Linked DNA regions of Xenopus tropicalis. The protein of the gene in region 4 binds, or shares a complex with, the protein of the main gene of each other region. Links are inferred from orthologs where the notes say so. Each region holds a gene or a part of one and is shown on either strand. Other genes may lie near its edges. The genes, in order: rbm48, bcas2, lsm2, snrnp40, snrpd3, lsm6 and sf3b5.

What was found.
Region 1: snrnp40 (region 4) and rbm48 share a complex: the UniProt entries of both Homo sapiens proteins name them as parts of the minor spliceosome. The link is inferred for Xenopus tropicalis from reciprocal best matches to the Homo sapiens genes SNRNP40 and RBM48.
Region 2: snrnp40 (region 4) and bcas2 share a complex: the UniProt entries of both Homo sapiens proteins name them as parts of the postcatalytic spliceosome P complex. The link is inferred for Xenopus tropicalis from reciprocal best matches to the Homo sapiens genes SNRNP40 and BCAS2.
Region 3: snrnp40 (region 4) and lsm2 share a complex: the UniProt entries of both Homo sapiens proteins name them as parts of the U4/U6-U5 tri-snRNP complex. The link is inferred for Xenopus tropicalis from reciprocal best matches to the Homo sapiens genes SNRNP40 and LSM2.
Region 5: snrnp40 (region 4) and snrpd3 share a complex: the UniProt entries of both Homo sapiens proteins name them as parts of the U4/U6-U5 tri-snRNP complex. The link is inferred for Xenopus tropicalis from reciprocal best matches to the Homo sapiens genes SNRNP40 and SNRPD3.
Region 6: snrnp40 (region 4) and lsm6 share a complex: the UniProt entries of both Homo sapiens proteins name them as parts of the U4/U6-U5 tri-snRNP complex. The link is inferred for Xenopus tropicalis from reciprocal best matches to the Homo sapiens genes SNRNP40 and LSM6.
Region 7: snrnp40 (region 4) and sf3b5 share a complex: the UniProt entries of both Homo sapiens proteins name them as parts of the minor spliceosome. The link is inferred for Xenopus tropicalis from reciprocal best matches to the Homo sapiens genes SNRNP40 and SF3B5.

The regions. Positions count from the first base shown.
Region 1 is NC_030682.2:31,762,762-31,766,957, reverse strand, and holds the start of rbm48 (RNA-binding protein 48), read left to right. Parts: upstream 1-1,213; 5' UTR 1,214-1,328; coding exon 1,329-1,439; intron 1,440-4,196. Other genes in the region: pex1 (peroxisome biogenesis factor 1), read right to left, coding at 876-986. UniProt on the Homo sapiens protein: As a component of the minor spliceosome, involved in the splicing of U12-type introns in pre-mRNAs.
Region 2 is NC_030682.2:7,012,523-7,016,517, reverse strand, and holds the end of bcas2 (pre-mRNA-splicing factor SPF27), read right to left. Parts: intron 3,002-3,995; coding exon 2,909-3,001; intron 2,449-2,908; coding exon 2,378-2,448; intron 2,245-2,377; coding exon 2,083-2,244; intron 1,960-2,082; coding exon 1,909-1,959; intron 1,644-1,908; coding exon 1,563-1,643; intron 1,051-1,562; coding exon 930-1,050; 3' UTR 641-929; downstream 1-640. UniProt on the Homo sapiens protein: Required for pre-mRNA splicing as component of the activated spliceosome. Component of the PRP19-CDC5L complex that forms an integral part of the spliceosome and is required for activating pre-mRNA splicing.
Region 3 is NC_030684.2:75,102,978-75,107,108, reverse strand, and holds lsm2 (U6 snRNA-associated Sm-like protein LSm2), read left to right. Parts: upstream 1-1,214; 5' UTR 1,215-1,352; coding exon 1,353-1,355; intron 1,356-1,819; coding exon 1,820-1,887; intron 1,888-2,370; coding exon 2,371-2,401; intron 2,402-3,285; coding exon 3,286-3,345; intron 3,346-3,462; coding exon 3,463-3,588; 3' UTR 3,589-3,921; downstream 3,922-4,131. UniProt on the Homo sapiens protein: Plays a role in pre-mRNA splicing as component of the U4/U6-U5 tri-snRNP complex that is involved in spliceosome assembly, and as component of the precatalytic spliceosome (spliceosome B complex).
Region 4 is NC_030678.2:79,149,888-79,154,168, forward strand, and holds the start of snrnp40 (U5 small nuclear ribonucleoprotein 40 kDa protein), read left to right. Parts: upstream 1-1,387; 5' UTR 1,388-1,459; coding exon 1,460-1,540; intron 1,541-3,217; coding exon 3,218-3,347; intron 3,348-3,933; coding exon 3,934-4,027; intron 4,028-4,281. UniProt on the Homo sapiens protein: Required for pre-mRNA splicing as component of the activated spliceosome. Component of the U5 small nuclear ribonucleoprotein (snRNP) complex and the U4/U6-U5 tri-snRNP complex, building blocks of the spliceosome.
Region 5 is NC_030677.2:152,605,406-152,609,601, forward strand, and holds the start of snrpd3 (small nuclear ribonucleoprotein Sm D3), read left to right. Parts: upstream 1-1,248; 5' UTR 1,249-1,271; coding exon 1,272-1,397; intron 1,398-3,838; coding exon 3,839-4,031; intron 4,032-4,196. UniProt on the Homo sapiens protein: Plays a role in pre-mRNA splicing as a core component of the spliceosomal U1, U2, U4 and U5 small nuclear ribonucleoproteins (snRNPs), the building blocks of the spliceosome.
Region 6 is NC_030677.2:58,334,612-58,338,825, reverse strand, and holds the start of lsm6 (U6 snRNA-associated Sm-like protein LSm6), read left to right. Parts: upstream 1-1,401; 5' UTR 1,402-1,488; exon of another isoform or gene 1,489-1,665; intron 1,666-3,072; exon of another isoform or gene 3,073-3,259; intron 3,260-3,853; 5' UTR 3,854-3,868; coding exon 3,869-3,962; intron 3,963-4,214. UniProt on the Homo sapiens protein: Plays a role in pre-mRNA splicing as component of the U4/U6-U5 tri-snRNP complex that is involved in spliceosome assembly, and as component of the precatalytic spliceosome (spliceosome B complex).
Region 7 is NC_030681.2:58,017,420-58,019,977, reverse strand, and holds sf3b5 (splicing factor 3B subunit 5), read right to left. Parts: upstream 1,261-2,558; 5' UTR 1,259-1,260; coding exon 998-1,258; 3' UTR 683-997; downstream 1-682. UniProt on the Homo sapiens protein: Component of the 17S U2 SnRNP complex of the spliceosome, a large ribonucleoprotein complex that removes introns from transcribed pre-mRNAs.

The DNA.
Region 1 (4,196 bases), on a different chromosome or scaffold from region 4:
CAGCCACAGTCCCTTCCCAGAGGCTATTATCCCACTGCTACTATAGGCACCATCTCTCCCTACTATACCTGCTATCCCACAGCCACAGTCCCTTCCCAGAGGCTATTATCCCACTGCTACTATAGGCACCATCTCTCCCTACTATACCTGCTATCCCATAGCCACAGTCCCTTCCCAGAGGCTATTATCCCCCCACTGCTACTATAGGCACCATCTCTCCCTACTATACCTGCTATCCCACAGCCCCAGTCCCTTCCCAGAGGCTATTATCCCCCACTGCTACTATAGGCACCATCTCTCCCTACTATACCTGCTATCCCACAGCCACAGTCCCTTCCCAGAGGCTATTATCCCACTGCTACTATAGGCACCATCTCTCCCTACTATACCTGCTATCCCACAGCCACAGTCCCTTCCCAGAGGCTATTATCCCACTGCTACTATAGGCACCATCTCTCCCTACTATACCTGCTATCCCATAGCCACAGTCCCTTCCCAGAGGCTATTATCCCCCCACTGCTACTATAGGCACCATCTCTCCCTACTATACCTGCTATCCCACAGCCCCAGTCCCTTCCCAGAGGCTATTATCCCCCCACTGCTACTATAGGCACCATCTCTCCCTACTATACCTGCTATCCCACAGCCCCAGTCCCTTCCCAGAGGCTATTATCCCAGTTGATATTATTAATCCTTTTCTGACACCTACACAAATACACCTCATGTCATGTTACTAAACTCCCTCCTGCTTTCCATGTAGAATCACCTGAGAATCCCAAAGCCCTGGTTAGTGCCCGGACAGGGCCATTACAGGCATCATATTAAAATAAACAAGTGCTGCCCATCACGGACAGACGGGCCCCGGTTAGAGTTACCTGCTCCAGGCGTAATTGTGCGAGCACCTCAGGTGTCACACGCAAAAATGTGTCCTTAGCACTTGTGAGTTTCAGGGACACAGCAGCCCCGGGCGGTCCCGGACCTAGCATCCTACTGTGGCGTACCCACAGCAACCCCCTTCACTCCAGCGCTGTGTATGACGAACGTGCAAGTAACAGAACTTCCATCGCTAACGTTATCAGCTCCTTCATGCCTACTGGGTAACTTCCGCGCTGTTTCACCTTTGACAATCGAGGAAATCCCACTCACCCTGTGTCTGCTGACGTATAGTACCTCCCGCCCAATCAGAGAATGGCGTGCTCTAATGACGCCTGTGTGCGGGGCAGTCCTTCCGCCTATTGGTTCTGCTGCCTTTCCGCCTATTGGTTCTGTGTCCCGGCCTGTGTTTGGTACAGGGAGAGAGGGAACTATTTCTTAGACAGCAGAAGCCGATGGCAGAAAGCGCAGCAGTGCAAGTGCAGGCCTACGCACACCATGAGCAGCGAAAGATATGCGCCTCACGGGCCAAGTACCGCGAAGGACGGAGGCCCAGAGCAGTCAAAGTGCGTGAAACATTTACAGTTTTTGTTTTGGTTTTTATACGTCCACACAACTAGTATTCCAGCGTATTCTTGCGGTGGGACTGAGCGCCAGTGCCGCTCTAGCAGGTTTCCCTTCGTAGAAATTGCTCCCTAGAGTTATCACTGAGTTACAGCTTCCATAAGAATGTTAGCTCTTCTATATTCATGTGGTTTTAATTGGGCACTGTGTGGGAACTGGTAATGATTTCTGTTTCTACATAGGAGCATATTGTTCCACTGAAGGAAAAAATGCTGCCTTTTTATCTGCACCCACTGATAGGGGAATAGTGTGGGAGAGGGATTAGAGTTCTAGTTCACCATTTGGAGGCAGTAGGTTTCATTATAAACTATGGGCTATTTCCCATGATTGTAATTATAGATGTCACAGACCCAGTGGCTGCAACTGATAAGGCTAAATATATGTTTATGAATAAAAAGATAATTTTGTGGTTGGGCCCAGTGGTCTCTAGTTACACCAGCAGTCATGTATACTGCAAGCCAGTGGGGTACCACAACAATTTCAATTTAGGGCCCAAAAAATATTTGTATGTTAACCTATTCTACCAAGATACATTGACATTTCTCATCAATTAGGGTCTTATTGGGCCACTTCCATTCCTGGGCCACTTCCATTCCTGGGCCACTTCCATTCCTGGGCCCCCTTCCAACTGCAGGGTCTGCCCTAGCACACACTCCAGTTTCCCTTTCCTTGCCCTGTAACATTACATCATTTCACTCTGCACACATTCTCATACAACCAGCACACTTAACATGTCTGCATATAAAAAAAACACACACAAACTGATACTATTTTCTTTTAATTTCATAAAGAAGAGTATAATGCACTCAGTTACTGGGTTCACGTTAAACTGAGGGGTATATTTAAAAAAAAAAAAAAAGTTTAAATTTGACGCTTACCAAGATTGACTTGTAAGGGTCTGTTTTAAGCTTTCCATATCATGTGACAAATGTAAGATGCTGATGTGCATTTAAATTTTAAATGTTTGAGAAATAAAAAAAATTATATTTTGACCAAAAACTGAAAATGTGCCTCATCTCAGTTTTGTGCCTGTAGCCCTCGGCTATTGCACCCAGTCAGATTTATTCATATAATGCCAGAGATTCTCAGCTGGATTGAGGTCAGGCCTGTGACAGAGCCATTTGATCACTGGGATCACTGTTCTACTGAAAGATTAATGTTTATTTTTTAGCAGCCTGGAACAGGCTTTTTTTTGGTGATATTTCACTGTATTTTGCCCCATGCCTTGAAAACAATATTCCCAGTTGCTGCGTTAATTATATAACACACAAATCTGTGGTACTAATGAAGAATCAGGCTTTTGCGCAGAGAAATCTTTAGTTTAGGACTTTAAAAACTGTTGATTCCTTGCTGAATACTTGGACAGATAACCATTTGCTTTATACAGTATGGCAAACATGGCATATACAAACAGTTGTATCACTCTGGCTTGATTAAGCCATTTTACAGATGATGCAAATAGAAAAACTTTAACGTATGTTCAAGCCAAAGAAAAGTATCCAGTGCTTTCTAGCAAGTTACTGGCTTTCCTTCAAAAGCGATACCAGTAAAATTATATAGCCATCCTCCCGCCAAGAGAGCTATATCACTGGGCTTTAAACTATTATATAAGCAGAAATGAGTTGCTGGAAAGCTGCACACCATAAGAGCAAGTTAATACCTGGGTGCCAGTGCTGAAAGCGTAGATACACAGGGTTGGAATGACAGCACACGCAGGATGTTTTTCAAGAAGAATCACAGAGGTTTAGATAAATAAATGTGAGGCTTTATTCAGTCCGACGTTTCAGTTCCTATCTGGAACTTTCATCAGGGACAGTAACATCACAGTGCAGTACAAACCTTTTTAAGCACAAAAGGGCCCTAAACCTCTGTGATTCTTCTTGAAAAACATCCTGCGTGTGCTGTCATTCCAACCCTGTCTATTATATAAGCAGATAGTCTATACTTCTTCCACCAAGGGACACAACAAATGGCTTCTGAAATTTTCTCAATTACAAATGTCTCAAGGCCTTACAGTATGCAAATAAATGTCTTCCAATGGGATCATATAAAGAAATGCATCTAAAATTCTTTTTATTGAGCCTACTACTCGCCAAAAGTCAGTCCCAAATAGGACTCTCTGGAGGCAGATTTATTTAATTGTTTCTGGACATGTCCTCATAGTAAAAAGTTTTGGGTATCAATAACTTGTTATGCCATTGATAACTTGCTAGACTATGTTCCTATGTTACCAAAATGGATTATGTTCCTATGTTACCAAAATTGACAATGTTTGGTATCCCTACCAAATACTAGACTTATTGGGGGAGTAGAAAAGTACTGTTTATCATATCTGCAGCTGCTCGTAAATATATGCTACAAGTGTGGATAGAGAAACAACCCCGTCACTGTCTTTTTTTAAAAGTAAATTTTATATATTCACCTATTATTTCACCTGTTTCACATGGATTGGCTAGAAGTCTCCCTCCAAAAAGAAAAACACACGAGATGAAGAAAGAAACAAATGGCAATCAGTTTTAAAATGTTTTAAGAACAATTATTTTAAAACAAGGTTACTGATCCACCAGTAGTGCTATAGATGCTATAGAAAGCGCTTTCTCTTACCATTATCCTTCCAAGTGAATGACTTCACTTTGAGAATTATAAAACTATGCTTCTTGTAGATTGTAAGCTCTTTTGGGCAGGGCTCTCTTCACCTT
Region 2 (3,995 bases), on a different chromosome or scaffold from region 4:
CAGCACAGAGTATGTGCAGTGAATTGGCAGAAGAGAAGATGGGGGCTACTGGGGCATCTTTACTGGCACAGATCTTCCCTGCTGAAGGGCTGTGTGGCTGGTACAGAAGCCCAAAACATAATGTACAGCATTTCTGCCCTACTTCTTTAGTTTCCATGCTATTTGCAGTATTCACACCAAGTCAGAGCCAGACAGATAGGGGAAAAGTTTCATTTGCTGATGCTGGAAGTGTCTCTGGGCTCAGTGCTGCTTGTGTCTCCGCCTGCACAGAACAGCAGGGGGCGCTCCTGTTACACCTTCATGATATTAACATTGTAAAAACAGATGAGACCCAGGAGGAAGGGCAATGCCAGGCTTTCCCACTGTATCTCTATGGCCTATAGAAGACAGTTCATTGGTTTTTACGCTGATTTCCTCTCACTGTTACACACATGACCCGTTATCTGTCGAAGCTGCCCATGTGGGAAATCCGTCCCAGCTCAGAACATACCTATTTCCCTCTGGTGAGATCAGGCACTTGTGCAGAGACGGGGGTGCTATCTAATATATAATGGTGTGCCCCCACCCAGGCCAGGGTTACGGTTGTGTGGGGTGCTCAGTACAGACCCCCAGGAGCGCACAGGATGATAAAAGTGGAAGATTTCTGGAAAACACTTTATTATTAATATTACAGTGAAAAACAAGTCAGAATTTCCTTATAAAAGCCGGTATGTGCCCGGCCTACGAGGCAGCACTGGGGCATTTGGGTGAAACAGGGAGACCCATCCCTGCGCCTATCAGCACCCAGGCAGAGACTACTCGCTACATTTCCAGAGTGAAGAGCCATAAAGCAACCAGAACCCCCAGCAGCGCTGCCCAACATGGCGCCAGAGTCTCTGCAGCAGGACCGGTGCTGTTACCCTGGAACCTGTAATCCTTGGGGCAGGGCCTTAATAATCTTCAATATTTTCCTTATTCTCCCCGCTCCTCTCTTTCAGCTGATAGACTTCATTCTCCATTTGCACAATTGCTCTCTCAATCTCGTAGTTTTTGCTCACAAGAGACACCCACCTGCAACCGGCACAGAAAGCAAGTTAGAGACAGACGAAAATGACTACCAGTTCTATTAAAGCTAAAATATTAGCATCCCATAAATACCATACACTGTACTAAGCACAATTCAGCAGGAACAGCCCCCTAAGTTTGCTCATAGCCTGTACAGAGAGATACCATAAAACTATGGCACATAGGGATTCCCCTGTACTAAGCACAATTCAGCAGGAACAGCCCCCTAAGTTTGCTAATAGCCTGTACAGAGAGATACCATAAAACTATGGCACATAGGGATTCCCCTGTACTAAGCACAATTCAGCAGGAACAGCCCCCTAAGTTTGCTCATAGCCTGTACAGAGAGATACCATAAAACTATGGCAGCATAGGGATTCCCCTGTTCAGCAGGAACAGCCCGCTAGGCACACTCAAAGCCTGTGTGTACTTCATTCATGGAAATACAGTATAGGGGAGTAGGTATTCCCTTGATAAGTTCACCCTAGGTGTGAACAAAATGCACAAATCTCACTTACGTTGACTCCATCTCTCTGAGTCGGGCACCTGCTGTCAGCTGGGAGTTCTTTCTCTGCCAGTTCAAGTCCTGAATCTTTTTCCTGTTCCGGTAACAAGACAAATAGTGAAAGCGTTAGAGCTGTTAAAATGGAAGTGTGCAACTGCTAGTAATACCCCAGGGCTAGGAACTACCCCACGTAGGTAACTCGAAGCTCATCCCAGTAATTACACAGGAACTGAGCTCTAAATCTCTGCACTTCCTGCTTCTGGGCTGCTCTCTTCCCCACGGCCAGGGAAGGATTATATATATATATATATATATATATATATATATATATGGTTAGTATGGGCTTAATGCCGTCTCACCGTAACTTCTGGAGATCTTTCTGCGCGCAGTCGATCATATGCAGCAGGTTCCTGGGAGGAGACAGAAGAATCACGTGACTGAAGGGCGGCAGTATCATTGGGTCATGCTATATCCTGTGCTGTAAATCAACACCCCCCCCCCCCCCCCCCCCCAACGCCATGTTCCCAACTCACTCGTTATAGACTTTCCAGGCGTTACAGCCGTGCTGGGACATGAGCTCCAGGTTCTCTATACGGACGGCCTGGTGTTCCAATTGGGCCATGGAGTTATTGACACATTCCTGCCACGCGGTGATGTCGTTCCTCTGGCCGGATAGGGGGGCCGGTAACTCATACCTAGAATCAGAGAGAGGGGTATGGTATTTCCACGGATACCCTTCAGCACAATGAGACCACATGGAAACCACAGGGCTGTAAAGCAATGCACAGATCTTGGTCCAGTAACCCATAGTAACCAGACGGCACTCACCTCTTCATGCTGAGCAGTTCGAGGGGCTGGCGCGACGAAAGTCTTTCAAACTCGTTCCTCATGATTTCAGTCTAAATAAAATGAATGAAAGTTGGAATCTTGGTCTCCTCTGTGAAGGGAACATGCCCCCCACCCACGTGATATTAGCACCAGTAGGTGCCAGGGTGGGCTCTGTGCATGCAAACCCCTCGGGGTTATGGGACTATGAAAGCAATCTTTGGAGAACTGACAGACATAAGGACGAGTAGTAGCAGAATGAATAATGAAGTATTAATATTTTGCAGAGATATCAAGTTGCTAGGGTCAAATTTACCCTAGCAACCAGACAGTGGTGTGAATGAGTATAGGGGAGGGGCTGGATAAAAAGTAACAGTAACAATAAAATTGAAGCCTCACAGAGCAATAGGTTCTTAGTTGCCAGGGTGAGTTCTCTAGCAGGGAAGCCATTTGGTTGGCCAATGTGCAACCACCGTGAATAGAGCAGAGGGGCACCCAGTGTAGGGTGCTGCAGAATAGGGAGAAAGCCATTACCTCAAATGCGGAATAGTCGGGGGTGGGCAAGTAACTCAGGTAGTTCTTTGTAGGCCGATATCTTCTGGTCTCCTCTTCCACCAAAGCTGCAGCCTGAGAGCAACACAGACCGGTTATTTACAGTAGAAATGCCCCCAATGGGAGTCATGTGACACACAGGGGCAGCACAGACCGGGTATTTACAGTAGAAATGCCCCCAATGGGAGTCATGTGACACACAGGGGCAACACAGACCGGGTATTTACAGTAGAAATGCCCCCAATGGGAGTCATGTGACACACAGGGGCAGCACTGACCGGGTATTTACAGTAGAAATGCCCCCAATGGGAGTCATGTGACACACAGGGGCAGCACTGACCGGTTATTTACAGTAGAAATGCCCCCAATGGGAGTCATGTGACACACAGGGGCAGCACAGACCGGGTATTTACAGTAGAAATGCCCCCAATGGGAGTCATGTGACACACAGGGGCAGCACTGACCGGGTATTTACAGTAGAAATGCCCCCAATGGGAGTCATGTGACACACAGGGGCCGCACTGACCGGTTATTTACAGTAGAAATGCCCCCAATGGGAGTCATGTGACACACAGGGGCAACACAGACCGGTTATTTACAGTAGAAATGCCCCCAATGGGAGTCATGTGACACACAGGGGCAGCATTGACCGGGTATTTACAGTAGAAATGCCCCCAATGGGAGTCATGTGACACACAGGGGCAGCACTGACCGGGTATTTACAGTAGAAATGCCCCCAATGGGAGTCATGTGACACACAGGGGCAGCACAGACCGGTTATTTACAGTAGAAATGCCCCCAATGGGAGTCATGTGACACACAGGGGCAGCACAGACCGGGTATTTACAGTAGAAATGCCCCCAATGGGAGTCATGTGACACACAGGGGCAACACAGACCGGGTATTTACAGTAGAAATGCCCCCAATGGGAGTCATGTGACACACAGGGGCAGCACAGACCGGTTATTTACAGTAGAAATGCCCCCAATGGGAGTCATGTGACACACAGGGGCAGCACAGACCGGGTATTTACAGTAGAAATGCCCCCAATGGGAGTCATGTGACACAC
Region 3 (4,131 bases), on a different chromosome or scaffold from region 4:
GGGGAAAACCCTAATTTTGTAGGCAATTATGAATAATATACGGTGCTGGTTTCCCTTTGGGCTAAACATTAATCCTATTTGTAAAAATGGCCCCTTTATTGGAGCTCCCTATAGATCCTCTCTCTTCTCTGACCATGTTTGAAATGAAGAGTGGGCGTGTCCTAACGGTCCCTGCAAGAAGCACAGTAGGAGGGGGAGAGCCAATCACAGACCTGCACTCACACAAGCAAAGACAGGCTTCAGTTCCCTATCAGGTCAGCCTAGCTGCTGATTGGTTCCTATCCTACAGTGCAGTGTATAGAGGGCCGCTGGCTCCCCAGCTCATCCAGAGAATTCAGCCAGCAGGAAGTGGAGCAGATGGGGGGGACTAGTGGGGTTTTGGGGGAATTTCTCAATAAATCTGTCTGAAATACAACTTTTTTAAGCACATTCCTTCTATATCTAGAGGAGTATAATTCACTGGCACATTCATAATTTTTATAGGATATGTCTCCTTTAACAGTAACTAGCCCAGGTATGGACAGCGTAACTCCTTTTAGCTATCTCGTAACCCTCATGCCTTGTACCTGGAGTTGGTAATTATTGGTCCTTAACATTACAATTGATGTTTGTTGTGCAAGAACTGATAGTTTGTGTTTGTGGGTCAGAATGCAGTTCCAGCCTCTGTAGTTACACCTGGAATCCAAAGTTGTTTAATAAACTGGTACAAGGGACATTTTCTCTGAGCAGAAGCTCAAAAAGGGCAGGAGGTGGGCAAGTGACAAACCAAAGGTTAGGGATTAAAAAAATACAAAAAAGGGATCCAAAGAACAAGGAGAGATAAATCTGATTCTTGTCTGACTGTCGCTAGTTTGGCCCTAGGTTAGAATTCTGCTGGCAGAAGAAACAATAAAATAAAAAAACATTTTAAGGTTGGACATTACAGATCTAATGTGGAGTGCCTAACCTTAATATAGTTCATTTTTATTCTACTGTTTCATAAACTAATCTATACTTTGTTACACTTAGTACCTGCTCCCAGTTTATAAAACCTGTATTTTTTTTAACGTATTTTAGTTGTTCAGGGATAAAATACGTTTAGGGGACTTCTCAAGAAAGTTACATGAAAAAAATGTTTTCTGTCCTCGCGAGATCATGATTGCGTCATCACCGTGGGACCCATTCATTCGGCCGGTGCCTGAAGCCGGCGCGCAAATTCCTGCTGCTTTAAATTCTCGCGAGATTTATGCAGAGGCGCTAGAGCGGTGAATGAGCGGAAGGCATTTGGTGTGTAGATCTGTCGTTGTCAGCGGCGTCTGTTTTGTTCTTCAGTTTCCAGATAGAGCTTGGGTGGTGCGACTGCAACAGAAGCAATGGTAACCGCTTAAGAACACTAGCGTTCCGTTACTGTTTCACGTTTTGTAGGGTAGAACCTAAGGAGTCGATAGCCATGTATTTTGTGGTGTACCAGCGTATACAGACCTGTTTGGCAATCAGTCCCCCCCCCCTATAGTCGCAAGGTCAGCTTTCTGAGTGGCCATGCCCTGCTTTGACGTTCCATGTTTTGCCTATACCAGGATTCTGGGATTTGTAGTCTTATAGCAGTGGGAGGGCTCGAATTTGGCCATCCCTGCTTTGCAACAACATTTCAATCATTTGTAACCTGATGTTAGTTGGACAGAACAACTTGTCTGTCTCTGTTATTGTTTGTGTCTTATGAGAGAACATGCTTTGCCTTGATCTGTAAAGGATCTTGGCAACATTTGTTATGTGATGTGCCTTGGGTAAGCTACAGGAGAGGCAACTGGTTTTTATAACTACTTGTTTTTATCATGTACAGCTATTCTACTCCTTCTTCAAGTCTCTTGTAGGAAAGGATGTGGTGGTAGAGCTGAAGAATGATCTGAGGTGAGTGTTTTGCCCCATGTTCTTTCTAGAATTGCTTCCCCCCCCCCCCCCCCACATGCTATACAGTCAGGCAAAAAGCTGCCACTGGTACATTTCAAGAACCTAATTTCTGTACTTTAAGGGATGTGACACACGGGGACATTAGTCGCCGCGCAACAAATCTTTCTTGTTGCGTGTCGACTAATCTCCCTGTGTGTCACAGCCCTTAAACCTAGTGCAGTGTGTGCAGTTGTGCTTTCTGCACTTGTGATGTGCCCAACACAAAAGAGGTAAGCACGGTGGGTGCAGCAGCACTTAGAGTCCCCCTGACCATTGTCAAACTTTAGAGGGCAGAGTGTATTGTGTAGACAGAATTTATAAAAACATTTTCTTGTGCTCCTGTAGACTTCACACCCTTAAATAACCACTTCTTTACCATTTAGCCATCTTTCATCCATTTAGCCTTTTGTTGCACTATTACATAAATGGTCTTATCTCTTGCAGTATCTGTGGTACTCTACACTCAGTTGATCAGGTAAGTAACTGAGCAAATATATAAATGTAGTTTATTTTCTCAGCATAATTATCAGCTCAGCCATGTTGTCACTTAAGCCTTGCAACTGAAATTGGCATAAAATCTTTCAGTGCCAGGGAAAAATGTTGGGTTGGCAAAAAAAAAATGAAAAAGTGAAAATTTTCTTTTAAATGACTTTACCATTACTGAAATTTCCACAACGCTAGGTTAAATTAAACCCTAGCAATCAGATAGCGCCTACAATTCCAAAATGGAGAGCTGCAATAAAAAAAGCTAAATTTAATTAAAGACTGCGATAATGAAGACTAGTTGCAAATTGTCTCCAATTATCACTGTCCACATCATACTAAAAGTTCATTCAAAGGTGAACAACCCCTGAAGGGACAGAGCCTTTAATAAAATGTACGCATCCTGCAGAGTATAATGTCAAACCAGGGAATATTTATTAACATAATTACTACAAGATTCTCCAAAGAGAATATTGCTCATATTTTTTTTTTTTTATACCCTAGAGGGCTTGTTTGCATAGAGGAATATCTCTGCTCTACCTGTTATCGTAGTACCTTTTCAGGTGTCTGGTGCTAAACAGTCTGTAGACCCACCTGCCCAGGGTCAAAGATGCTGTAGCACACTGATCCGTTATTGTGGTTGCATTAAGTTGCACCGACTCTTGCAATGTTTTGGGTCACTCTCAGACTGGCTGAAATGTTCCCAGTAGATGTCTGCTAATTAAGCCAATAAATCACTTTATTTAATGTGTGATCAGTGTGCTACATCATCTTTTGCATTCTGCATAGAGGAATATGTCTTGGAATAGAACTTTTGGGGGGAACTTGTGTTTTTCATTATCTCAAACAAGATTTCACTTTTTTTTTTTTTTATAGTATTTGAACATTAAGCTGACTGATATCAGTGTAACAGACCCAGAAAAATATCCACACATGGTAAGCTTTTTTTTTTTTCTTTGTATTTTTTATCTGCACCAGTAAACTAGATACTTAGCTTTTAATCCTGCTTTGAAACACTTGTTAATGTAATTATTTAAAAAATTTTTTTTTTAGTTGTCTGTAAAGAATTGTTTCATTCGGGGATCTGTGGTCCGCTATGTACAGCTCCCTGCTGATGAAGTAGACACTCAGCTTCTCCAGGACGCTGCACGGAAAGAAGCTGTACAGCAAAAGCAGTGATGTACAAGAGCTAGAAGGATGGAAGCAGGTTCACAAGCAGCACTAGGTGTTGTCAACTGCCTATATTTCTATAAGGCCAAATATAGGAGTGAGCAGCAACTTGTTACCTGTTATACAGGTTTTGCATTACATTTCTGTAAGAGACCCACACTTTTTTTTCTCATCCTAGTTCTGGAAACTTTTTTAAGTGCAGTGACTTGTGTGTTCACTTTAGAATCCAAGCAATGCATTTTGCTCTGCAAAGAAGTGGTCTCAGATAAGCAGAGTTAATTGGGAAAGACTGCCCTAACTTTTTTTTTTTTTTACTTAAATAAATTTTGTGTTAAGTCATCAGCTCATGTTTTTTTTTTTTTTTAGTGAAGCTAGTTCCTTCTGTTTGTATCTGCCTTTCTTAATTTTGTCGTAATATGATTTTTACTGGTTTAATTTTTTTTTAATATGCGTATGGTAAATTTAACCCATACCCTGAATTTGAAAAATCAGAAATTTTCCACATTGAAGAACAGAAATTTATAACATTCTGTTGTCCAGAGCTTTAAAGTC
Region 4 (4,281 bases):
TGACCCTTATATAGACCAATGTCCACACCTTAATAAATGACTGCACTTATTACCCTCCCATTCATGTGAATAAGTTTCCAACCTTCTTAGATGTTAAGACAGGACAAAGAACTCATTCTTCTTGTGTCTCAATGTGTGGCACTCAATCTCTTTAGCTGCTAATATTTTATTTATTGCACTGTAATATAAAAGTATTGTAAAAAAAAAAAAAAAAAAAAAAACAATTGCATATAAAATTAGAGTCACATAAAGATATATATACAAATATGTATATTTCGTAAGTCTCTGAATAATGAGATAAATACGCATAACATAGGGCAGGGACACTTTCATTCTTTTTCACTGCAGGTTCAAACCCATACACTGTGTAACTGGGTCACTGTGACAATAGATTTGTAATACCTTATAGTAATCATGGCTGCTACAACACATAGGGCTAAGGAAGTCACCCGAAGTTTCCTCTTAAGGCAACTTAAGGCGACTTCAGAAAATCGTAGTGACGCATATGCCATCCCACCGGCGATTTACATTCCTGCTGGTGGGATGGCATAGCAGGGAGATTAGTTGCCCGCAGCAACAAAGAATTGCTGCGGGGCGACTAATATACCCGTCTGTCACCTCTCTAAATTTACAAATACGCTTGTAAATGTGGCTCTATGTGCAGAATAACATATGGCCTTAATCCTTAGCCTATTTACTAGCGTATAAGCCAATATCACCAGTGATGTTGCACATAGCAAACAATCAGCAATTAAGAGTTTAGCAGTCACCTAAAAGTTAGAAATCCAAAGCAAAGATCTGATTGGTTGCTAAGGGCCACATCACCACCAATGATGTCGACTTACACACTATAATAGATATGCTCCATATAGAAGAGAAAGTGAAGGCATGTCCAGCCTATGAATCCTTCAGTGTGCGCTAACAGCATGTAAGGCACCTAAAGCCAACAGCCCCTTTTACTGGAGTAGACAAAATTACATGTGATGTGCCTAAAAAAATTGAATCACCTGCAGAGAAATATCAAGCTGCGTTAATAATGGTTTATGTAATAGCCTATTAATCTTCTTCTAACTGACTTGTTATATATTTTACCTTTGATGGGCCGCCATTTCGCTGTCTCCTCCCCGGCCGATCACATTTAACCAATTACAACAACTTCTACGTCATTTTCTCTTTCTCCTGTATCAGCCCAGTTGCTTAAACATCCTTATACGCGCAACCCCGCCCATCGTACGTCATTACTAATGGACAAAATCGGCGCAAGCTCTGTTCCGCCCCTTAAAGGCTTTCAAGGTCACATGATTGTCTTAGAGCCAATCACCACTATAATCTTTATCAGGTAGTGACTGCGCAGGATAATTGCGTGAGCATCCTGCGCTGCTGAGTGGGAACGCAAGCGAGTCTTACAGTGTGGCTGGGTTTGTGAGTGTTAGACAAGCTGGAAGGAGTTCTTGGAAACATGATCGAGCAAAACAAGCGGAAGGGAATGGAGTTGGTGCCGGTACAGGCAAAAAAACCGAGGAACGAGTTGGTGGTTTCGGTAAGAATGAAGAATTTGAATGAAATGGTTGGCTTGGATAAGTGTAACCATTCATTCCTTGGGCATATTTGACTTGGACTTTAGGTAAAATTATAGACATAATCTAAATCGTACCATTATTTCCTTTATTAAAAGATTTAGACGGTATAAGAATAAGCTAAAAAGTGTAATCATAAGGCTCTAACGTCTGAACATAGGTAGGGGTATAATTACTTATAGTATTGACTCGTCTTGTGCACCCCACACAGCCATTAAGGACCTTGTGATTACACTTTGCTACGCTAATGGGTTGTGGTTTTTCGTTTATGGGACTTTCTAGTTGTTTTAATGAAGGTAATCAAGTTAAAGTTTTCTTTTTTAAAAAAAAAACTTTATTTCCAAAAGTTATAAATAGTAAATAAAAAGCTAGTATTTTTACTGCTATGGGACTTTCTCTTAACCCATTTTCATGCCTTTTTTCTGAAAGGGGTAGTTCAGTTTTAAAATGTCCTTTAGTATAGTGTAGACAGCATGACCTTAGTCTGTATATCTGTTTCTCATGTTTTAGTTTGATTATTTCTTCTGCGCCTCTAAGGTTTGTTTGTTTAGACCTCAATTCTCCTAGCAACCAAGAAGTAGATTGGAACTCAAAATGGCAAATAATTAGGGAAGGATCTCAATAGACTGATAAACAATAGGCAATATAACAATAATACTAAAACTGAATTTTAAGGGGAGAAAATATGCCAAAGAGTAGTTAAAAGAATACTGACGTGGAACGTGTCAGTATTACTGACAATGCAGCACTTGGTTGGGCTTCCCCCAGCCCAAACACACTTACCCCATCCCAACACTACTACACGCAGAATGTTACTTTAACGAGTTGTCTGTCAGTCACACTGGCCTCCATGCAATCCTTCCAACGGCTGGAGTACAGTTTACATTTGTATTCCTGCCTATAGAATGATGGCACCACCCACAGCCCGCATGTCTGCAGGGAGCATCTCTTTATCCAGACTGCTGGCTTAAAGGAACAGTAACATCAAAAAATTAAAGTGTTTTAAAGTAATTAAAATATAATGTGCTGTTGCTCTGCAAAAAACTGGTGTTTTTGCTACAGAAAAGCTACTATATAAATAAGCTGCTGTGTAACCATGGGGGCAGCCTTTCAAGCTTGAAAAAAGGAGAAAAGGCACAGGTTATGTAGCAGATAACTAGTAGATCAGCCCCATATAATGGGGGTTTATCTGTTATCTGCTAAGTAACCTGTGCCTTTTCTCCTTTGAATGGTTGCCCCCATGGCTACACAGCAACTTACTTATATAAACTATAGTAGTCTTTCTGAGGGAAACACACCAGTTGTAGCAATGCAGGGCAACAGTACATTATATTGTAATTACTTTTATACACTTTCATTTTTTGGTGTTACTGTTCCTTTAACTCTGCCTGTGGTAAGTGTGACTGGGCTGGAGGAGATTTGGGGTAAATCTTCAATAAAAGCAGTAGTGTTGTGCTGCATTATGGGTAATACTGACAAGTTCCTTACTGTTATAGGAATGTGTCAGTGCCCCTTTAAAATAGAATAGAAATGGTAATTTATAGAATACTAAAAATTTAAGGTGAATAAAATATTTCTTTAGGTAATAAATGGAACTGAATCTACTTTGATGTTTAATTCTCTGAACTTGTTGACTGCAGGGTCCCCCAAGATCATCCAGTCTTCAGGCTCCCATCATGCTGCTTTCTGGTCATGAAGGAGAAGTTTATTGCTGCAAATTTCATCCCAATGGTGTAACTTTGTCTTCTGCAGGATTTGACAGACTTATCTGTAAGCAACTTTCACTTGTTTTATACGCTTTGTATTTTGCAGCTGTTTGACTTAGTAGCAGATGTTGTTTTTCATCTGTAGAATCACACAATTAATTGGCCATCTATACGTTACTAATTAAGGATTAATCTGCACCTCCTGTAATTTTGTTATGCTTTTTAGCTCCTTTTTAGCACATTATCACACTATACAAGCTGTAACATTAATTATGAATGTTACAACTGATCAGATTAAGAAAGTTATGCAGGTATGTGTTATTTTATTTTTTCTTTTCTTGTAATATTTAATCAAATTAAATAAGCTACCATGTTTTGGCAGGTTTGCCCAGCAGGTAACTTATTCTATTAAACAAAGCAAGTAAATTTAGCAGCACACATGAACTTCTTTGTAGGTATTTAACTGATTTGCAAGAAAACTGACACCGTCTGAATCTGGAATTTACAAGGAATATGAAACCATTTAAACTTTAGTTTTATGCTGCATTGTACATTAATAACAATTAGAATTTGAATCCAAAAATGAAGCTATGTATTTTACCCTTAAATTGTGAAGTTATTGAGTGAGTTTATTTTGACTTGCCTTGTAGTGCTATGGAATGTATATGGCGACTGTGACAATTATGCAACTTTGAAAGGACATAGTGGAGCAGTGATGGAGCTTCATTACAATACAGACGGGAGGTAGGTAATTGTCTGGTCTGGGGCTTATGTAGTCATTTTTGTTTTACGGGTACTGAAAACTATCCTGTGTATTACACATTGGTGGTACTAAATTATGCATACTAATTTCTGTAAAATTGCAAAGACCAGGATGCCAGACACTGTAATATCTTTGGTTTATGCCTGATTTTCCTTAAATGTGTCAGTGCTGTTCTAAATAGGATTTTAGTTAATATAGCTATCCTTGCAATACTTGCCATTAATAGTGATTTTCA
Region 5 (4,196 bases), on a different chromosome or scaffold from region 4:
ATTTTTGTGCACAGATGCCATTTTGTCCATTTTACTTAATGTTGCATGTGCTTTCTGGCAGTTCAGAAACAATGCATTCAGCAGATATATAAACAAAATAAGCCTGATCATTCTGGGCCCATACATATGCCAGCGGTCTGCCAATTCAGTTAATAAAGTCAGAATCAGCACCTATTAAAAGCGCAGACTAAAAGAAACAGTCTGATCAGGTGCGGACTGGAAATGGGGCCTTGGCATTTAATTATACGCGGATACCCAAATAGCCCCCTATCACCCCAATAAATAGTGTCTGTGACATCTTACAGCAGCCCTTCTGGCATTTATCACAATCCACAGATTGCACGTCTGAGTCTAATTGGAGGTTTCAGCTCAAGATATTTAATAATAATTCATAATATATAATATGAAAAGTTGCAGTGCAACTAGCCGCTCTTAAATGGTGTGAATAGATAAATGGGTTGATGAGCGGAACTAAGTCACTCATATCTGTTTCCCACCGGAAGTTGTTTGCTTGTGCAGTCGCCGGGAAAAGGGGGCAGAGAGATACGACAGCCTGTTTCCTTTCGCTGTGCATTGTGGGGCAGGCGGGACGCCATTAGAACGCAGAACAGAGCCACGCTAGTAAGTATTACCCAAAGCAAACAAAAGTTCGGTAAAAAGTCTGCGCTTTGCAGGATTGTCAGAGAGGCCCGGGGGTTGCAGCGTGCGGATATCTGGGCGGGGTGTGCGTCTCGGTTACTCGGCGCTTGTTCGCTTTCCCTTAGGTCTGTGCGGTTGGCAGCTTTGTATGAGTGTGAGCAGGGCTTCCCTCTAAATATTGCCTTATGGTGAGGTTATATACAGGGTGCCGGGCCCAACGCATCTCACTGTGTTACCAGTCCGTTATCCGTTTCTATAAATATTCCTGCCTTAGGCCGGGGGCACTGAAACGTTTGTGTAGGCCTCAGTGCCAGTATCCCAGGGAACTCATTCATTGAGGGTTACTCCTCTGCTTCTGCGGGTTGTGCTGCTGCGATGTCCTAACGTGCATGTGTTTCTGAAGGGCTGGGCATGTTTGTGTGCATATGTATGGCTGAATTTATAGACTGTAAGTGATTAAAGCTTTAGGCTGGATAAACATTATGTAATAAGGATTTTTATTTGAATATACCTTATAGTTTGCACATGGCTGCATTGTATGCAGTAACCTGCGTTGCGCTTTGTATGTTCTCCACGTTTTTTTGCTAATTTTTATTTCTCCAATTGCAGGTTAATCTCCATTAGCTCTCAATATGTCTATCGGTGTACCAATTAAAGTCCTTCATGAGGCAGAAGGCCACATTGTGACATGTGAAACTAACACCGGAGAGGTATACAGGGGGAAATTGATTGAAGCAGAGGATAACATGAACTGCCAAGTAAGTAAAATAAGCAAGTCATTCGTATTATATCTATAGCAAGTGCACCTAAACTTATAAATATTTACCTTATGCCATGTTTGTAAGTACGTTGGTGATTGCAGTATAAACTCTAGTGATAGACCTTATGGACCAACAATTGTAAAGGCTGTGTTAAACTAAAAATGTGTGTGTGAATTGTTAGGGGCAAAGTATTTTCCAAAAGGCACCTATTTATTCCCTATATAGTGCCTCGGTTACCCTATCCATTGCAAAAGAAGCAGTTATATTGTGGTCAGAAGCGTAAATAGCTTAAAGGAGACATGGAAAAATAGGGGAAAAAAAAACCTAATTTTGTAGACAATTATGAACAATATATGCTGCGGGTTTCATTTGGGCTAAAAAATACTCATCTGTAAATATGGCCTCTTTATTGGAGCTCCCTGTAGATCCTATCAGTTCTCTGTCCCTGTTTAAAATGAAGGGTGGGCGTGTCCTAACGGTCCCTGCCAGAAGCACAGTAGGAGGGGGGAAGGCAATCACAGCCCAGCACTCACACAAGCAGAGACAGGCTTCAGTTCCCTATCAGGTCATCCTAGCTGCTGATTGGTTCCTATCCAGCCAGCAGGAAGTGGAACAGATGGGCGGGACTATTAGGGTTTTGGTGGAATTTCTCAATAAAACAGTCCAAAAAACAATTTTTTTTAAACCACAGTCCTTCTATATCTAGAGGAGTATAATTTACTGGTACATTCTTAATTTTTATACAATGTCTCCTTTAATCCTAATCTATTTCAATTTCCTAGCTGTGTCTCTAGATGTCAGTATATTCACAGTAAAGCTCAGTGATAAGGAGCAGAAGTAAAATATGTAAATGCTGTTGTTGCTATGCACTTTTAAACTGTTAGTTACAGGAGCCTAGTTAGTGGGGTGTGGCTACACCCGTATTGCATTCCTGTTGTGTAATTTAAAAAATATTTAGGGTGACAATTTCCTTTTGCTCTTTTTACTAAGCACTCTTCTGTTGTTCATGTATAAACTTCTCTTTTAACATGGAGAAAAGTCTCCTTTATCTACCCACAGAAGCCAAACGGTAACATATTTTGGTGTTCCTATTCTTTTAAACTATGTAAGTGTTTCAAAGTAATCAAAATACGATGTAGTGTTACCCTGCACTGGTAGAACTGGTGTTTGCTTCAGTAACACACAGCAGCTTGGATGGCTGCCCCCACTGATACTACTATAGTTCATATAAATAAGCTGCTGTGTATCAGTGGGGGCAGCCATCCAAGCTGGGATAAACTGAGTAAGGGCTCTGGCACACGGGGGAGATTAGTCGCCCGCGATTAACTCCCTGTTCGCGGGCGACTAATCTCCCCGAGTTGCCTACCCCTGCCATCCCACCGGCGAACATGTAAGTCGCCGGCGGGATGGCAGACGCGGCGGGGCGATTTCCGGAAATCACCGAAAAAGACTTGCGAGTCTTTTTCGGCGATTTGCGCGAAATCGCGCCGCCACGTCTGCCATCCCGCCGGCGACTTACATGTTCGCCGGTGGGATGGCAGGGGTAGGCAACTCGGGGAGATTAGTCGCCCGCGAACAGGGAGTTAATCGCGGGCGACTAATCTCCCCCGTGTGCCAGAGCCCTAAAGGTGCTGGTTACATAAGCTGTATTGTATTTTACAGAGCTTATCTTTTTGTCACCTGTGCCATTCAGCCCTCTTTGTTTGAATAGCTGCCCCCATGCAGCTTTATTTCTATAGACCAGGGTTTCCCAACCTTTTGTACCTGTGAGCCACATTTAAATGTAAAAAGAGTTTGGGAGCAAATGAAGCATAAAAAATTCTTTTGGGTTGCCAAATAAGGGCTGTTATTGGCTATTTGGTAGCCCTTATGGGGACTGGAAGCCTACAGGATTGTGCTGGCAATACAGCTGGTTTTTATGCAACAGAAACTTGCCTCCTTACCAGAAATTACAAAAAATAAGCACCTGCTTAAAGTCCACTGGGAGCCACTGGTTGGGCATTACTGGTATAGACTATAGCAGTGTTTCTAAAGCATTTTAACGCAGCTGTATATTACCTTGTACAATAAATAGGTTGTTTTTGGCTATTTTAATTAAAAGGGTCCTCCAGCCAAAAACTGTTTTTGTAATGAAAAAATTTAATTCTACGCAACTTGGATATACATTAAAGGAAATTTAAAACTGCAAAGACTGGTCTTCTAAACATTCTTCTACTGTGTATGAATGTTCTTGGTGCTGTCTCCCAGGAAAAGAACATGGTTTTGGCTATTCTTTGAGCTAAACAAGGGGGAGACATGAGTGTGAAGTCAAACACGATCCCGTTAAAGCTTTATAAATATAAAACATTGTAATAGAATTCCTCACATAGTGCTGTATGTTAAGCCTGTGTCCTTTTTTCTTCCCTCCATGGATGCTTAAATTGTACTTTGACTTTCAGATGTCAAACATCACTGTAACGTACAGGGATGGCAGAGTGGCACAACTAGAACAGGTCTACATCAGAGGCAGCAAAATTCGTTTTCTCATCCTCCCAGACATGTTGAAAAATGCTCCCATGTTAAAGAGTATGAAGAATAAAAACCAGGGTTCTGGTGCCGGCAGAGGAAAAGCAGCTATTCTCAAGGCCCAAGGTAAGTTTTATTTGTGTAGGGGCAGGGTTAACAGGGTGATGTCTGTAAAATTCCATGATCATCATTAAAAGCCCTCCGTTCCCTTGGTTTAAGTTACTAATTGTTAAATTAGTTTATTTTGTTATTGGAAGGAATTGTTTGTCCAAGGAGAATAGGAAGGGAAAA
Region 6 (4,214 bases), on a different chromosome or scaffold from region 4:
TTCTTTGCTTATTTGGCTAGCTATTAAATTAATTAATTCATTTATTTGCATATCATATTAGTTATTTTCATTTTTGTACATTTTAATTCCTTCCGAGGAATCTTAAACAGTTACGCTCACAGAGCGTCTCCTCATCCCCTATGTTTGCATGGGTGGGTTCATGGCAGTTGCAGGGCAGATTCAAGTTCTGGATGTGAAAGCTAGTTACCCAGCAATTACCAAATGAATGAAAACAAAAAAAAAAAAATATTGTATAATTGTTTATAGTTATAAGCAGAGAAGACCTAAACAGCAATAAAGACAGGTATAAAGTGACAATTTAGAGGAGTGAGTGAGCTTCCCCCACACCATGCTTATAAACAATTTGCAGGATTTCCAATTTGGTGTCAGTCACTGGCCTCTTGGTGACTGCACATATATTTCTTAAGGTGCCCACACACCTTCAGATCCGCTCGCTTGGTGATGTCGCCAAGCGAGCAGATCTTCTCCCAATATCCCCCACCTACGTGTGGGCGATATGGGGAGAATCCAGGCTAATTCCCTGGGGCCAAACGATCGCATTATAAAGACGGGTATAGGTGAAGTCGTTCCAGGGACCGCATCAACGAGCTGATACGGTCCCCGATCCAACTAGATTTTTTAACCTGCCCGATCGATATCTGGCCCAATTTCAGGCCAGATATTGGTCGGGCAGGCCCATCGGTAGTGCCCATACACGGGCTGATTAGCTGCTAGAATTGGCCCGTGTACAGGGACCATTAGGTGCCATGACATTCACCACTTTAATAAGGATATTTGCAAATACATGGTGTACAGCAGGTAATGAATCAGTAAAGATTTCAGATGAATAATACCAGGCTCCAATTGAATAATGTCATGCCACACACAGCTTATCAGTATTAGTAATCATTTTTGATGCTAGTGACATTTTGTGTGGCTGATTAAAGTAAACTGACCCTTCAATCAGAAAGGATTATATGGGAAGTTTCAGAAAATCAAAGTAGCTTACCATAAGTAAAGTGCATGTGCCTGTATAAAATAGATACAAAAATAAATATATGTAAAATAAAAATACGTATACATTTGCGTCAACTCAAAGAAATGTATTACGTTTAGCAAGTAAGAGTAATGCTGAATCAGAACACGTTTTTAAAGTTGGAGGCGAGGTTTCTTTACTAGAATGACTTATAATGGCATGGTGCAGGGATTCAAAGCCATGAAACATACAGGATATCCCAGCCATTACTACATACAAGAGGTGCAGAGGAGCCACAGCGCCGCCTCTCGCCCTGATTGGACGCATCATTTCCCGTGTTAACGTCATCGTCCCCTTTTGACCCCCGGTAGGCGGTGCCTCATTCAGGAACCCGATTTACTTCCGTACGGCGCACACGGCTTTCGCTTGTTTTTGGATTGTCCTGAGACGGACACCGTAAAAAGGGGTAGGAAGGAGAGAGGCGGGAGAAAAGGCATCGCACGGGATACAGGGTGAGAATTACAGGGTGGCTTATGGCCGCCTGTAGTATTTGCATTGATGCACACCATCTAGTATGGTTAGTGCTCATTACGTTCAGAGAAAAGTAGGTAACAACAATAATTAACCTAAATGTGTGGCTCCCGCGGTGTCTATGCGAAGCGAATTCTGGGAGTTGTAGTTCATCCCAGGTGTGTGGCCGCTGCATTACATTGGGATTGTATTATGTATTGTTCAGCTATAATGTTTCGAAGTAGATTTGCTACAGGCACCCTTTTCTTGATACATATTTGTATTGCTCCCGGCAGGTGGGTATTGTAATTCCTGAGCAATATACTGATTACCAGCAGGCTGTACTAGAGGGGCTCAGTGCCAAGTACATGAGAGCTCCTCTCACAGGGGCTGTATAGATCTCCCTGCTACATCAGAGGGATGGAGCTTCTTACTTATAGATTTAGAATCATTTGTAAGTTTAAGCCCAGCTACAGTGTGTCAGTGTTGGGCTCTAGCCCTAATGTATGTAAGCCCTAATATATCTATGTTATCAGTGAGCTTTTCCACTTAATATTTTATTCTGGCAGTAACCAACATGCTTGAGGCTGTCACTGACAGATTTCCTCTGCTCTAATTGGCTGATACCAGCATGAGTCACATTTGTATCAGACTGCTGACAGACACCATGGTGGATATGTTTGTACAGGTATGGGATCCTTTATCCGGAGACCCATTATCCAGAAAGCTCCGAATTACGGAAAGCCCCTCTCCCATAGACTCCATTTTAATCAAATAATTCAGATTTTTTAAATTGATTCCCTTTTTCTCTGTAATAATAAAACAGTACCTTGTATTTGATCCCAACTAAGATATAATTAATCCTTATTGGATACAAAACAATCCTATTGGGTTTAATTAATGTTTTATTGTTTTTTTAAGTAGACTTAAGGTATGAAGATCCACGTTACAGAAAGACCCCTTATCCGGAATACCCTTGGTCGCTAGCATTCTGGATAACTGGTCCTATACCTGTAGTAGGAAACGTTTAGGCTGAGGAAGCACAGTATTTCTTAGAAATGATAAGAGACACTGAATAAAAACCTTTGATAAATACAATAATATATCAGGGAATTTGAGGACTGTGGAGTCGGTACATAAATCCTCGGAACAGTAACACAAAAAATGAAAGCATATAAAAGTAATTAAAATATAATGTACTAGTGCCCTACACTGGTAAACATTGTGTGTTTCCTTCAGAAACCCGAATATAGTTTATATAAACAAAGCTGCTGTGTAACCATGGGGGTAGCTGTACAAATTGAAAATAAGAAGAAAAGACACAGGTTACATAGCAGATAACAGATAAATTGTGTAGATTACCATTGTACCATTCTAAAGCGTGCATCTGTTATGTAACCTGTGCCTTTTCTCCTTTTTTCTAGCTTGAATGGCTGCCCCCATGGCTACACAACAGCTTATTTATATAAACTATATAGTCTTACTGAAGCAAACATGAAACTTTTACCAACACAGAAATACCCAATCTTAACCCGCCTGCTCCCAACCCTACCCGACCCAGCTTCTTCCCTTTATTTATAGACCTACTCCCGACCCTCCCCGCAATGACATCACGAAGGGGTGGGGCATGTCGGGCGCGCACCTATAAATTCCCAAGCTGGAATCGGAATATCAGCATTGTTAGGTCTCGGTCATGGAGGCTGACCGGAAGCACTCAACCCGAAGCCCACCCGCGACCCGCAGGTGATGTGCCAAGGTCGGCCTGACCTGCAGGTATTGGGCCAGCCCGCACATCAATAGTGCCCACTCCTTATTCTGCTGTAGACACTGAGGAATACAGAGCCTCCAGTTAGCTGTGATTTAACCCTGTTTTAACTGCTTTGTCTTCTGATTTTTTAGAACACATCTCTTATAGTGCTTTCCTGGCTTTCCTTTTAAAGGCTAGTTAAGACGAAGATATTTCTAACCAACTGCAGGCGAATGGATTGTCATTGCTGTTGGTTAAATTTGGTGGAATAGTTTAATAGAAAACTAAAGTTTAACATTTCTAGCCTGCTTCTTTTAGAGTTTAGTGTTTGTAGAGTTTATATTCTTTAAAATAGGACTTATACTCCACAATGTTTGCTGTGAATTCTGGACCAAAGCGGCAGTCTATTTGTATACCATATCATAGTGCAGATTTGCCAGTTCTAATGCACTAATCTGTGCTGTTAAATCATCAAACTGACAATAATGACCAACTGCAACTGATATAAAAATGCTGGTCTGAAAATGTGAATAATATATAATATCTGTAAAGCACTGAGGAATATGTTGGCACTATATAACAATAAGAGAATTATTTTGTCTTGAAACCTTTCTTTACAGTGAAAGGGAATTAGAATGAGCCTGCGCAAACAAACACCGAGTGACTTCTTAAAGCAGATTATTGGAAGACCAGTGGTTGTAAAGCTCAACTCTGGAGTCGATTATCGAGGTAAAGCTTAAAGTAAAAGGCAACCTGAATTCCTTTTATATCTATCTTTTATCAACATTTGGAATGAGGATTATGAAAAATGTATTTTTACAAATTCATTCTGGCTCTGTTTCATGTCCATGTTATAATACGTATTTTCCCTCACTTCAAAGTTTGCACATTCCAAAGCAATACATTTTCCCACAGATGCTGCTTAAATTTAAATATGCAAATCAGGGTTACGTTTGGGTCGTATTCTTCCTAAATGGGCGC
Region 7 (2,558 bases), on a different chromosome or scaffold from region 4:
ATTTAGTAACCCTGTTTATATTAAAACATTGTTATACTTACTTCTGCTATAGTTCCAGAGATATTGATATTAATCCCCAAATGCAGTGTCTTCCAGTCACAGTTTTAAATGTAGGGTATTTAAGTGGTGGTTTACCATTAAATTAACTTTTAGTATGGTATTAAATGCCCTATTCCCAGCAACTTTGCAATTGATTTTCATATTTTTTTTTTTTTTAAATTACATGCTTTTCTCTTCTGCCTCTTTCCGTCTTTAAAATGGGGTCACTAACACTGCCAGACAAAAACCATTGATCTGTGTGGCAATGGTTGGTTTTTTTTCCCCTGTCTATGCAGGCTTTCTCCTATTCATATTCCAGTTCAAACCACTGCCTAGGGTAAATAATAGCAACCAGATAGATGTAAGAATATGAAAACTGAAAGCAACTCAACAAAAAGCTATATAAAAAAAAACAATTATGAAGCCTAATTGCAACTGACCCTAGGGTTGCTGGCTACTAAAAGCACCCTGACTACGTTTACCTTTTCCAGTTTTTTTTTTTTTTTTGGGTGGGGGGGGGGATGGGCAGCTAGATTCTCTTCAAGAACACCAAACATAGCACCCTGACAATAACATTTTACATACTTATTAATCTAATAAGTGAACCACAGTGAACAATTAAAAAACTAACAAGGGTATGTTGTACAAGGATTCAACAAGAGTTGATTGTTTTATTACAAGTGATAAGCAGTTGAAAGAAAAGCCTAGATTAGTCGTACAAGGATTTCGAAGAGACTTCAGGCAAATGCACAAACGTCCTCAAAGTACTTTATCACGGACTCCTGGAATTCAGAAACTCCATTTAGAATTAGCACAGTCCTGCTTTATGATACACGCCTGTTGATTAGGCGGGAATCTCTTGCTTAAGTCCCGGAAACTTTAAGACGAACGGCGATAAGTTTGATCGACTCCAAGAACTCCATAACAGGCAGCCTCAGAGAAGAAACCATCGCCACGCTTAAGAGTCGTCGGGCTTATCAGCTGGGGGCCCACACGGCTGCAGCATCTTCTCCATCAGGTTAAAACGTACCCGTGCTTTACTTTCGTTCTCAGCCACGGCAAAGTAATTGAGCAGATCAAAGTGGCCCATGTAGGAGCAGTAAGAGTCTCTGTGCTGGTTCACCAGCCACTCCCACTTAGTAGTATCCGCATGGCCCGTGCCGATATACTTGGACTGCAGATGCTCCAGTTGGCTGTGAATAGTATATCGGTCTGTCATGGCGATGGCAAGCGCTAACAGCAAGCTCACTGTACACGACTTGGTGTTATGATATGCAGCGGTAGCGCCTTTGGCTTCCGGAGGACAAAAGAAGTCAGCGTGTTACAGCAGCCGGAAGTTACGTTGCTTCCGGGAGTGACCAATATATCGACGCCGACTAAAATAAATAAAGTTTCGTAATTTTGTAGTGTTTTGCTCATTTTCGCTTCAGCGATTGGCCCGCCTATTTCAAGCGAAATCGAAACTCCCTGCATGCTCAGTTGTGGGACACAGGGAGAGAACAGGCGGAAAGCTGTATGGAAAAATATAAAGTGGTTGCAGTTGGGTCAATTCTATAGGAATAAACCATTTTTTGAATAGTAACCTCCGCAACATGTTAACACATGAAACAATACCCAGCGGCATATAGATTACTCGCCTTCCAACCTTTACCTTTAAAGTGATAATATCCGTGATTTTAGCACACAGTCTTGCGATTTATTAAAGTTATATAAAGGCAAGGGTTCAATGTCCCCTCTAATTTCTTCTCAGTTATGTACACAAAAAATATTTTGTGCGCACAGTTTTTAATTTTTTGCATTCAGCATGTGTTTGTAAATGCATACATTAAAGTGATGTTAGAGCCCTAAGGGAGCAACTAAGACACTACCCATTTTAGACATGTAAACTTTGGCAGTATAAGGGCATTTCTGGCACATAATAACTTGGAGAGGCTTTTCACAGGGTTAAACACCGAAGGGTTAAATTGACCTATCAGTATATTCCTCTTGTAACAAGCAAAGATCTATTAAAGAAAAATTATTTTTGCTTGAAAGAAAAAGTTAGAACTGAAGTAGGTAATAAATGTGCTTTAAAGTAATTCAAGCTTGTTGAATCATTTTAGGTCTGTTACACATGGGGGAAATTTGTGCGTTTGATCAAAGTAAGTTGTGCCTGCGTAAGGCAGCATTCTTCATTGCATGAACTTTGTAGTGCACATGAGCTGTTTGCAGATGTAAATGTCACTGATGATGTCAGAAGGAAAATGGCTGCCAGGTAAAAGACACTATTTGCTTTAGGGATATGTAATGGTGCTGACAAACACAGGGGATATATGCAGTACAAATGGAGTTGTTTGGGTGCCCAACTTATATATATATGGTAGGAAAATGTATGGTTTACATGTCCTTTAAATTGCACAAGTGGAAAGTAGGCAAGCAATATTGTTAACAAACTAAATAAAGTAATAAAATAAAAAAAAGAAAAAGGAAAGGAAAAGGAGAAAAAAAATTACCTTAAAATCTGAGGAAAATAGCTCAAC